3 linked regions of the Canis lupus familiaris genome follow. The protein of the gene in region 1 interacts with the protein of each later gene in a pairwise test. Links are inferred from orthologs where the notes say so. Each region holds a gene or a part of one and is shown in the gene's direction. Other genes may lie near its edges. The genes, in order: MPPED2, RXRG and CAGE1.

Evidence for each region.
Region 2: the proteins of MPPED2 (region 1) and RXRG interact in binary tests that used the Homo sapiens proteins (3 or more experiments, as listed by UniProt). The two-hybrid records come from large-scale screens. The link is inferred for Canis lupus familiaris from reciprocal best matches to the Homo sapiens genes MPPED2 and RXRG.
Region 3: the proteins of MPPED2 (region 1) and CAGE1 interact in binary tests that used the Homo sapiens proteins (3 or more experiments, as listed by UniProt). The two-hybrid records come from large-scale screens. The link is inferred for Canis lupus familiaris from reciprocal best matches to the Homo sapiens genes MPPED2 and CAGE1.

The regions. Positions count from the first base shown.
Region 1 is NC_049239.1:37,322,329-37,325,282, forward strand, and holds the end of MPPED2 (metallophosphoesterase MPPED2), read left to right. Parts: intron 1-966; coding exon 967-1,085; 3' UTR 1,086-2,390; downstream 2,391-2,954. UniProt on the Homo sapiens protein: Displays low metallophosphoesterase activity (in vitro). May play a role in the development of the nervous system.
Region 2 is NC_049259.1:18,575,216-18,579,459, forward strand, and holds the start of RXRG (retinoic acid receptor RXR-gamma), read left to right. Parts: upstream 1-1,417; 5' UTR 1,418-1,519; coding exon 1,520-1,691; intron 1,692-4,244. UniProt on the Homo sapiens protein: Receptor for retinoic acid. Retinoic acid receptors bind as heterodimers to their target response elements in response to their ligands, all-trans or 9-cis retinoic acid, and regulate gene expression in various biological processes.
Region 3 is NC_049256.1:8,646,196-8,650,330, reverse strand, and holds the start of CAGE1 (cancer-associated gene 1 protein), read left to right. Parts: upstream 1-1,194; 5' UTR 1,195-1,209; coding exon 1,210-1,219; exon of another isoform or gene 1,220-1,257; intron 1,258-3,633; exon of another isoform or gene 3,634-3,653; coding exon 3,654-3,850; intron 3,851-4,135. Other genes in the region: RIOK1 (serine/threonine-protein kinase RIO1), read right to left, coding at 640-710.

The DNA.
Region 1 (2,954 bases):
CTGGTAATTTAATTGTTCACGGGCATATTTTTCTATTCCGTAAGAGCCTGATACCAACATAGAATTACAAACTGAATCGCAGAGGCTCTAAGGTAGATATAAGGTATCCAGGGCAATGTGCAAACTTGCAAACATGTTAAAAATTTCAACAAATTAAAAATTATAAAAGGGACCTACATACCAAAGACCCAAGAAAAACTTTCGTAGCTTTTCCCAGTAGGTCACAAGAGATTTATATACTGCACGTGGGAAGTGTTTTTGCTTGATCCAGTGCCCGGGTGAGCTTAGGAAGCAGTGTCCTATGGTGATGTGTGTCTGCAAATCACTTGGATATTCGATTACTTGACTTTTTTTGAATGAAATGGAACTCAGCACCAAAAAGCCACACAATTCGAGTGAGATAAGATCACTTCTTGTTAACCATTCATTGAAGCAGTTTAGAGATTATCTCATAGACAAGGAAGCTGAGCATCCCCCCCACCCTCCTGCACCCCCCCTTCCGGATCCCAGTGCTGTGTGCTCTTTCCTGCCTCACCTGCCCCAAAGCCCATTTGGGGTTTTGGATGTGTGCACCCTGAGGAGCCTCTTCTGTGACTCTCTCTGTTCCCTAGAACTCAGTAATGAATGCAGGGCTTTGAAATGAAAATCATATTTTAAGAAGAGGGGAGAAGTGTTTTTCTCTGTATTCTCACTAGTAAAGAAATCACAGTCTTTCCCCGACAAATCTAATGCTTAAATAAGGAAAAAAGAATCCCTTTTCTTTGAAGTCAAGGATTCTCTCTCTAAAGAAAACAGAATGTAATTGGAAGGCAGCTTCTGAAAGCTGTTATCATCTGGGGAGGCTTCATTGAATCTCATCTCACTGCCCACTGGCAAAGATTTTTGAGTTTTCCTTGCCTGACAGCCCACCACTGAGTCACTATCATTTGTGTATATTACAGTAAGCATGACACTCTGTCTCCACAGGTTACGGCATTATGACCGACGGTTATACAACGTACATCAATGCCTCAACGTGTACAGTCAGCTTTCAACCGACCAACCCTCCAATTATATTTGACCTTCCAAACCCACAGGGTTCCTGAAGCTCTAAAAGCCCAATTGGAATGTGAGGGAAGGTCTATAAACTGCCATTTTTCTAATTATAAACTTACATTCTCTTACTTGTTTATTTCCAAATCCTGTGAGTTCTTTTTGTAAATTACTGGAACACAAATGACGCTAGAGGTTGTGCTTCTCCTTTATTTTATTTTATTTTTTTATTTTTAAAAAATGGGGCGTCCATTCGAAATGAAAGGAGCATTGTGAATTTGTAAAATGACTTCCGTTCTCTCCAAGGCCACGCCATAGTAAATTGTGAGTATTCGCCAAAGGACAGCCAAGCTTTCTTTTTAAAAGGTGATGAAAGTCTTATTTTAATATGCTTTAAGCTGGAAGAAAAAGAAAAGAGAGAGAGAGAGAGAGAGAGAGAGAAACAGGTAGGTAGTGTTTTAAAAACCACCCAGATTTGCACAACTGTTTAAGAGTATTGTTCGAAGTATTTTATTTTTTGATGTTTTGTTGTTGTTGTTGTTGTTTTCTTGGTAACGCTTACTTTTTTGCAGACATGGCCTGGATTTATAGCAATCTTTTCAACAAAAAGTAGGCGTGGAAAAGACTTCTCTTCACACTCTCACTATAAAGAAAGCTGCGTCCAGGGAAGAAAACGGCCCTCGTTTAAAGGATGGCTTAGCTAGTGAGATCCGTATTGTGGTTCTACAAGGTCTCATTGTTTGTTTGTTTCTTTTAAATTATTTTAGCTTTAAAAATATGGGAATGGAATCTGTCAAGAGCAAGTATTTCGTGCAGTTAAAAAAAAAATTGAGCGTGCAGACTCCTTTTCAGTATGGGTTTATATATATAAATATTTTTTGTGTATTATGACTAAGTTAGGAGTTTAATATTGCCAAGGACAGTACGACTGCAAAGGGATGCTTTATAGCAAGGCATCAGAAGTCCGAAGGGGCTGACACATTTTCTCAGAACTCAAGGTCTCAAAGAGCTTGAGTTAAGTCTCGGTACAGTTACAGGCGTGTACAGACTTAAGTGGATGCAATGGGAGGTAACTAAAATAAGGCTTAGTCGTCCTTTATATTTAAATACCCTGAATCGTCTTCTTACTTCCTCTCCCTCCCCCCATTTTGCACTGTGTGTCGATGCAATCTTCGCTAGCACAAAATATTGTCGCTAATAGTCATTTCTGTTTTCCCATTGTAAATGCTGTTGAGCTTTATTCTATTTTATGTTATCTTGTTAATGAAATTTAGGAAAGCAGTTGTTTCTTTTAAATTTATTGTGATATTCTATATCTAGCGGCCTTTATATGCAAATAAAATTGCAAGATTTTTAAATCTGTCCTGTTTGGAGGGTTGGCTGGTAGGAGGATGGTGGTTTAGTCCTGGGGAAGGAGGGATTTATTCACATGCAGCATTAGTACTGCCTTTCAGAAGAATTAGAATAAGTGATTTTTTTTTTCTGATTTTCAATAAATTTTTATTACCCACCATTCACAGGCTGGCAGGTAGATCGATAAGGCACTCAGTCTACTCTTTCCTTCCATCACACTGTCATCTATCTTGCCGTGGGCTTCTGAGGGTGAATATTTCGTCCTCACCATTGTAATTTCTATGAGAAGGCTGACCGTGCAGTGGAGGCTGTGGACGCTTGTGTGCCTGGCAGCGAGAGGGTGAACCAGTGGGTAATAGAGTAACCACTGCGGACTCTTACTTGTCCCCAGGAGCATTACCCCATCACCCCCTCACTATTCACTATTCTTTTATTGATGTCCCTCACTAAAACGTGGCAGCCAGGAGTCCAACAGGTGGTGGTGGAGTGTGGTAAACCAAGTTAAGTCTTTTTTATTAAAAAAAAAAAAAAAGTCTTTTTTATTTTCCCTGGAACAGCCATTGAAGAAA
Region 2 (4,244 bases), on another chromosome or scaffold:
GAAATGTGGACTAGCACCGGGCGTCCGAGTGCCCCTTCTACCGAAGGAGGTAGAGGAAGAGGTCGGGCTGAGCTGGGACCCCGACAATGGGCGCCCTGGCCAGCCTGGAACTGTGAGGGGCCAGAGTCAGGATGGGTTGCGTCCTCAGCAGACAGCGCCGGGGGTGGGAGAATCTGGCTGGCTCAGAGCCTAGAGCCTGCGACTCTGATCTTGGGGTTGTGAGTTCGAGCACCATGCTGGCGTAGAGATTCTTAAAAAAAAAAAAAAAAAAAACTTTAAAAAACAAAAAGAAAGGAAGTGCGAAGGTCAAGATCCAGAGGGAGGTCTCATGTTGGGTTGGGTCGGGGGAGGCAGGGAGCTGTCCTGTGCTGCTGGGAGGAGTCGCAGAGCGGAGTCCTTCCCGTGGTGGGGCTGGGGCAAAACCCACATCGGCTGCCTTGGTTGCTCCATTCAGAGGCCGCTGGTCCCATTCACGAGTGGTGTTCCCTTGGGCAGTGTCTCCAACATCCCTGGCCCCCAGTCCCTGCATCTGCACAGTGGAGAGCAGCATGCCGGCCTTAATGGGGCTTGTGGGTGCAGGACGTGTCAATATATGTCAAGTGCTGAGAACCGGAGCTGGTCTTCACTCGGCAGTCGCTCAGCCAATGTTGAGCTGTTGTTGTTAGTCATGGGAGGAGGCGACGATTGAAGCATCAGTTAAAGTGCCTTCCTGTGGCGGGCCTCAGCCTGCCTGTGTGTTTGGAGCCAAGCTGGGAAAGGATGTGGGAGTAGGGGTCCCTTAGACTGGGAATGACCAGCCAGGGGTGCTCATCGGTTCAGCATCCGACTCTTGATTTTGGCTCAGTTCATGATCTCAGGGTCCTGGGATCCAGCTCCGAGCTCAGTAGGGAATCTGCTGGAGAGTCTCTTCCTCGGCCTCTATACCTCCCCCCCATGCACTCTCTCTGTAAATAATAAAAAAAAAATATTTTTTTAAAGGAAGAACAAGCCAGGTGTCGGACTACTCTCTGATGCTGGGGCTCATGCACCAGGTCCCTCCAGTGGAGACAAGCAGACAGGCTTGGATGTGCGATGGTGTCTCCGGGGGAGAGAGTTGAATGGGATGGAGCCCTGTGGTGCTCCCTAGACCTCACAAGAGTCCTGCCTCTCTGGAATAGCATGTCTCTACTTCTGTCCCCTTCCCTGTGGGTGGGTACGACCCAGTATCAAGATTCATGACAAGTTTCCACTCCGTGCAGGAGAGGCTTGTTAGGCCAGCGAACTACCCTGGCACAGCAGAAAGGGGTGGAAACACCGAGCCATTTGCTCCCTTGTCTGGCCAGTCAGAAAGACTCATGCTTGACATTTTCCTTTCATTGGCTGAGGATGAGGTTGCTAGGCAACCTCCTCACTTTGGTAAGAATTCTGTAGTTCTGAGTACCCGGGCTTCTCTTTCTCAACAAGTACCCCCTCAACATGCACATGCAATTTGTTACTCAGAGATTTTCACTTTGGTAAACAGCAGGGCTGTAGACTTCTTATGCAAGTAATTTCTATTGATCAACTCCCTATCGTCATACACGTTAATCAACAAAAAATTATCCCATCTCTGATCCTGTCTTGTCGTCAGGTACTTTTTGAGCATCTGCCAAGTTCCAGGCTCAGTGCTGGGTACCATGATGGTGACCGTTCACGGCAAGTGGAAATTAAAAGTATGTGACAACCAGGAAGACAGCAGATAGCCGGGGGGGGGGGGGTCGGGGGGGGGTCACGTGGAGGGACCTCTTTGTGCCAGGCTGGGCTATGGGGAGACCTGGGCGATCCTAGGAGGGTGGAGTAGCTGGGATGACGGAGGGGCACTCCGGGCTCAGAGCAGTGGCTGTACTAGCCGATTCAGACAACTCAATATTATAAACAACTGGTATGTCCGTACCAGTGTGTGGCGACGACTTTCCTCGATAGAGCATTTACCACAGGCCTGGCTTGGTCTAAGCCCTCGACGTACACGATCTTCTCCAATGGCATTCAGGCCACACACAGTGCCTTGCTCACAACAATTACAGAACAGTAAATTATTGCACCTGCCACCATGGGGCCTGTGCTTTCAGGTGCTCTCAGCAGGCCACTGAGGTAGGCACGTGTGTCCCCACTTTGGGTGGGGAACTGCAGTTCGAGGGTCACATTCCTTGCTCAAGTCTACGTGACTGGAAGGAGGTGGAGCCTCGAATCCAACCTAGGATTTTGTGGCTTCAGTCTTGTGTTTGGCTGGGCCGCCGCAGTGCCTTGATGCACACATAGACGTGAGGAATCATGCTGGTGTGGGCGCCCTGCAGATTCCCAGACAGCTTGACTGCTGGTGACACTCAGCGTCCCAAACAGAACGAAGGTCTAACAAGGTCCAGCTGCCAAGGACCAGGGGCCCCTCGGAAAGGGGTCCAGACTCACACCCATGCCAGATTGCTGTGACTGGCGCTGCTTCTTTGAGACCTCAGTGGGCCGCATCCTCATCCATGTTCATGGAGTGGTAGTGGGAGGGGTCTCGGAGACCCCTGAGCAGAATGAGGCCCGGAAATATGAAAGACTTTTCTTAAGTATGTTGCCAGGAGAGAAGAAAAGAGAGCCCACTAGCCATTTCCCATTAGATGAGTTACTTTTTATTTAAACAAATCACTGCCTGAATAAAGAGAATCGACTCTGCGGAGTGGAGGGTTTGTGCATCTCCCAGGCATCTGGCAGCGGGCACAGTCCGGCTATGGCTAAAGAGGATTAAGAGGATGTAGGGTCAGGGATGGAGCAAGGCTGCTGAGGTGCAGAGACCAGGGAGGATGGGGCTGTAGGAACAAGAGGGAAGCACTGGAGGATACCTTGACCTTGGATCTAGACTAGAAACCGGGTTTCTGGAAAAAAACGTGTGTACCTTTTGGTCCTGGCTATGGCTCCAACATGGCTTTGAGAAAAAGAGGAAAGAGGGGGGAATCCCTGGGTGGCTCAGTGGTTTAGCACCTGCCTTCAGCCCAGGGCGTGATCCTGGAGACCTGGGTTTGAGTCCCACATTGGGCTCCCTGCATGGAGCCTGCTTCTCCCTCTGCCTATGTCTCTGCCTCTCTCTCTGTGTCTCTCATGAATAAATAAATAAAATCTTTTTAAAAAATAATTAATTAATTAATTAAAAAAGAGAGAGAGGGAAGGTGATGAAAGGGCCATCTGTGGGTCTGACGCTCTGTGGTCTCTTTGGAGGACAGGTTCACTTCCCATTGGGAAACACTTCCATCATTAGAGGCACTGATTCCCACCTTTTCTAAAAGCAAAGCTTTCATGTCTGAGAACCAGTGGGTCATGGGAGAGACACAGAACCAACATGCAATTGTGTCAGCTGTATCAGTCTTTCTGAATTTTATTTTATTCTCTGAAGTGTGGTTATAAAGTAGCCCACCTCTTCTGCATCACTGACTCAGCAGAAGCAAACCGCATGGTAGGGCCATTGCAAAGCAAGCTTTAAGTCTGTTTCATCCTGTCTCAGCCATGCTATGCTCCTCACTGAGCAGCCGAGGCCTATTTTGACTGTCCTCATTATTATTATCAATAAAAACAGTGCACTTTTAATTTCAGTCACCCTCACATCATCTTCTTTTATTCTTGGGACAACTTGTGAGTTCCCCAAAGTCCGTGTTTCTATGTTTTTGTGCAGGTCAGTGTTCCTCTTATACATCATCCCTTTACATGTCCCTATTCCCAAGTGTCCTACATATTGAGGTCCTTGTACTTACTTTGTCCTAGGTCAATTTATTTTTTTTTCAAACATTTGTTTATTTATTTTTGGGATTTTATTTATGTATTTGAGAGAGAGCACAAGCAGGGTGAGCAGCAGAGGGAGAGGGAGAAGCAGGCTCCCCACTGAGCAGGGAATCCAATGCGAGGCTTGATTCCAGGATCCCGGGATCATGAGCTGAGCCGAAGGCAGATGCTTAAATGACTGAACCACCCAAGTGCCCGTTTATTTATTTTGGAGAGAGAGAGAGAGAGAGCAGGAGGAGAGACCGAGGGAGAGAGAGAGAGAATCTCAAGCAGACTCCCCTGAGTGGGGAGCCCGATGCAGGGCTGGATCTTACAATCCTGAGATCATGACCTGAGCCGAAATCAAGAGTCAGATGCTCAACTGACTGAGCCACCCAGGTGCCCTTACTCTCATTTTGAAAACTTAAATAGCTATTTTTAGAAAGGTAATCTCAACGCAAAAATAGAAGCCCAGTCACTTGCTATAAATA
Region 3 (4,135 bases), on another chromosome or scaffold:
TCTCCCCTGACATTGTCAACTACTCGGCCTATCAACTCATTTCAATTATTTGCACTAGCGCCTAACATCTGTTTCGGGGCTCTTAGACTATCTCTATGTACCCCATCGTCAAGTCCTCGCTCCCATGCAGAAGGCAATGTTCAGGCGACGGCAGGGACTCTTGTCTTATTCATCACCGTCTCCAGCGCCGCCGACAGAACCTGCACACAACAGGCGCTCCGATACCTTCTGGACGTTGGATGCAGCTCAAGAGGCAAAAATCTGTTTCCTGGGCGGCCCGGGTGGCTCAGCGGTTAGCGCCGCCTCCGGCCCAGGGCGTGACCCTGGAGACCCGGGATCGAGTCCCGCGTCGGGCTCCCTGCGTGGAGCCTGCTTCTCATGAATAAATAAATAAAATATTTTTTTTTAAAGAAAAATCGGCTTCCTCCCCGCTGTCCCCGGCTGCAGACAGTCGCCTGACTCAGCGATGCTAAGCGACCCGGGGCTCCTTTGGGGGGCTCTGCCGCAAAGTGGGATAAAAGACCCCGCGGGGGTGCGGAAAGAAGCGAGACAACTACTGGTCTCCCTCCAAAGCCGAGGGGGCCGGGGGGGGGGGGGCAGCGGAGCCCCCGCGGGGTCGGGGTGTCGGGGGCCGCGCACCTGTCGGAGGAGTCCGCGTCGTCGAACTGCCCCGGGACCACGCGACTCATCAGCAGCCGGCGGTAGTCCATCCCGGGAGCGCGCAGAGCCCCGGAGGCCGTCCGCCGCGCGCTGGGACAGGAACCTACCTGCGGCCCATGAGACCGCCCTTCGGCAGACGCCCGCCCAGCACGCGGCTCAGAGGCTCCGCCGCGAAAGGCGGGCGCCACGCGCTGATAACGCACCTGCACCGGCAACCCGGACGCGCGGGGGGAACTTCCCTGACCGGAAGTCCCGCCCGACCGGAAGGCGCGGCCCGCCGGAAGTCCCGCCCCTTCACGAGGCGGTGGCGGCCCCTGCGCAGGTGGGGGGCGTGGCCCAGAGGGGGCGTGGGAGCCCGGCGGGCCGCGAGCCTCGCGGAGATTGGCTGGCGCGGCGGGGTGACGTCACACGCGCGCGAGTCCAACGCGCCCGGTACCTCCGGCCGTTTTTTAACGCCTTGGGTGGGAGCGGGTGTGACGTTGCTCTTCGTCCCGCGCCGCGGCGTGCGGAGGCGGGAGGCTCGAGGTCCTTGCCGCGGTCCGGGAAACTATGGAGCCTGGTAGTTAGACTTAAGGAGTTTGGTGCCGTGTTTTGAGGGTAAACTAAGATAAGTGATTTTTTTTTTTTTTAGAGAGTTTGTCATACGACTGAAAACGCCTTAAAACCGAACTAGAGGGGCAGCTGGAGGGCTCAGGGCGTGACCCCGGGGTCACGGGATCGAACCCCGCATCGGGCTCCCCCGCAGGGAGCCTGCTTCTCCCTCTGCCGGGGTCTCTGCCTCTCTCATGAATGAATGAATGAATGAATGAAATCTTAAAAAAAATAATAAATAATAAGTTGATAGAATGTGCACTATGAATAAAGGTCCAGAAATGTGATTGGAAATTCTAGACCAAAAAAGTTTAAGGAATAAGACACTTGGTTTTTTGTTGTTGTTGGTTGCTTTTGTTTTTGTTTTGCGTTTAGAAAACAAAGATTTTTTTCAGATGCCCTTCACCACAGCGCAGGCAGCATTTATGTGTTTGGAAAGATGGAAAAGGTGATTAAAAAGTTCACTAATCCCTGGCTAGCCTGCTTGACCCACTGGCTTTTTTTTATACTTTACGGGATGACATAGTAGCTTGCAGGGGGAGGGGATGGGAATCAAGCCTCAATTATTATTCGTTAATTCAGCAATTCAATAAAATAAAATCAGGCAAATGGCCAGTGACTGTAGATGGAGAAGTTTTAGTAAAAGTAAGTCCTTGGACTGCAAGGTTCGTTCAATCAATAGTCACTCTGTGAACGACATTGCTGTTTGCTGTAAGGAGTTCTGAAAAATCACGCATGGACTCCAATGGACGCACTTATAGTCTGTAAATACTGTGGGGCACCTGGCTGGCTGTAGGAAGAGCATGCGACTTGATCTCAGGGTGGTGAGTTCAAGCCCTATGTTGGGTGTAAACATCACTTTTTAAAAACGTGTAAATATTGACACCCTTGAAAGGGTGGCAGAGGTTAAAACAGTAAAATGAATAGGTGCTGAATTGTGATAGAGATTTTATTTTATTTTTAGGATTTTATTTACTTATTCACAAGAGACAGACAGGCAGAGACACAGGCAGGGGGAGAAGCAGGCTCCATGCAGGGAGCCTGACGTGGGACTCAATCCTGGGTCTCCAGGATCACGCCCTGGGCTGAAGGCAGATGCTCAACTGCTGAGCCACCCAGGCCTCCCATGTGATAGAGGTTTAGATGCAACAACATTGCAGGAATTTTAAAGATAGATGAATGGGTAGACAGCAAGGTCTCAAGAGAGAGAAGCATTTGCCAGTTCAGACTGAAGCAGTTAAGGAGCAAGATCTGACTAGAGCAGGGATGCACCAAATAGGTAATGTGGGTCCAGGCTGTGGGAGACCTAGAAAGTCAAGGAGGAAAACTTGGATTCCATGCAATTGGACATCCTTTCCTCTCCCATCCCCTGACAGGCCTGAGGAAGTCACAAGAGCATGGGCCAGTGCGAAGGTGTAAGAGGTGGAAAGAAAGCATGGGTTGTGAAAAACATTTTTTTTAACCAAAAATTTTTTAAAGGTTATTTACTTATTTATTCATGAGAGACACACAGAGGCAGAGACACAGGCAGATGGAGAAGCAGGCTCCATGCAGGGAGCCCGATGTGGGACTCGATCCTAGGATCCTGGGATCACACCCTGAGCCGAAGGCAGGCACTCAACCACTGAGCCACCCAGGTGCCCATGAAATTTTTTTTTTAAGATTTTATTTATTTATTTATGGAAGACACACACAGAGGCAGAGACACAGGCAGAGGGAGAAGCAGGCTCCATGCGGGGAGCCCGACGTGGGACTCGATCCCGGGACTCCAGGATCACAACCTGGGCCGAAGGCAGACACTAGCTAAACCGCTGAGCCACCCAGGGATTCCCGAAAGTCATTTTTAAAGGAGAGATGCACAGGACTTGGTAACTGGGTAGCCCAGTTGACGAATTAGAAGGATACCAAGGGTGTCTCCCAAGTTTTCAAACCAAAATGCCTGAGAGAATAATGTGGGATAGGAAAGTGGAGGAAAACTGATGTACAATGTTGGATTTAATTTGGTAATGACACAATAGAGAGTATCAAGTAAATATCAGTACAGTATTTTGTGGAACCTGATAGTCCTCTGATAATATTTTGTAAATATCTCTTAAATGACTGAGAGGTCCCTTTATGATCTGGGTCCCAAGTCTTTTAGGGAATGATTGGATAGTAGCCACATATATTGACTTGTTTTTGTCCAAATCAGTATTTACTGCTACACAAAGTGCCCATGATATACTCAAACTAAAAATTTTTATTTTTCTAATAACCTGACAACGGACATTTAAAAATTTTAGGACAATGAATGTTGCTGCTTTCTGAATGTGAGGGGGAATGGGAGGAATAACCTCTGTTTGTATATACTAATGAACATTAAAATTACGTTTTTGTTAAAAGAAACCTTCATCATTCAACAGTTAAAAACAAAGACTATCAAAAAGTTTGGTCATCACCTTCAGATCCTGCACATTTTGAAGTGGATGCCTCTCATGAAAAATTAGAAGGCGTGTTCAAAGCAGATAGCATGAATTTCAGCAGTTTTTCTCAAGACTTAACTCACTCACATTTTCCCTTGTATATGGATACCAACAGTACCACTTCAGACTCGCCTCAGGTGAGCGTTGCTTATAGAGTACTAGGAGGTACAGATGTATTCAGCTTTCACATTGTCTCCCATATGAAAATTTCCTCAAAAACAGGAAGAACACTAAAAGAATTTCTGGTGGAGGCTCAGAGGAGACCCTCAAACAGAGTCTGGTTTTCCTAGTTCTGTTAATGTAACAAAGAATTTTACAAATAGTGTTAACACTGATCCTTCCTGGACTCCAAGTGAAGTCTTAAGTGTGCAACCAGGGGACATAGTCACAACAATTTAGTCATAGGCAGGAAAAGAGTCAAT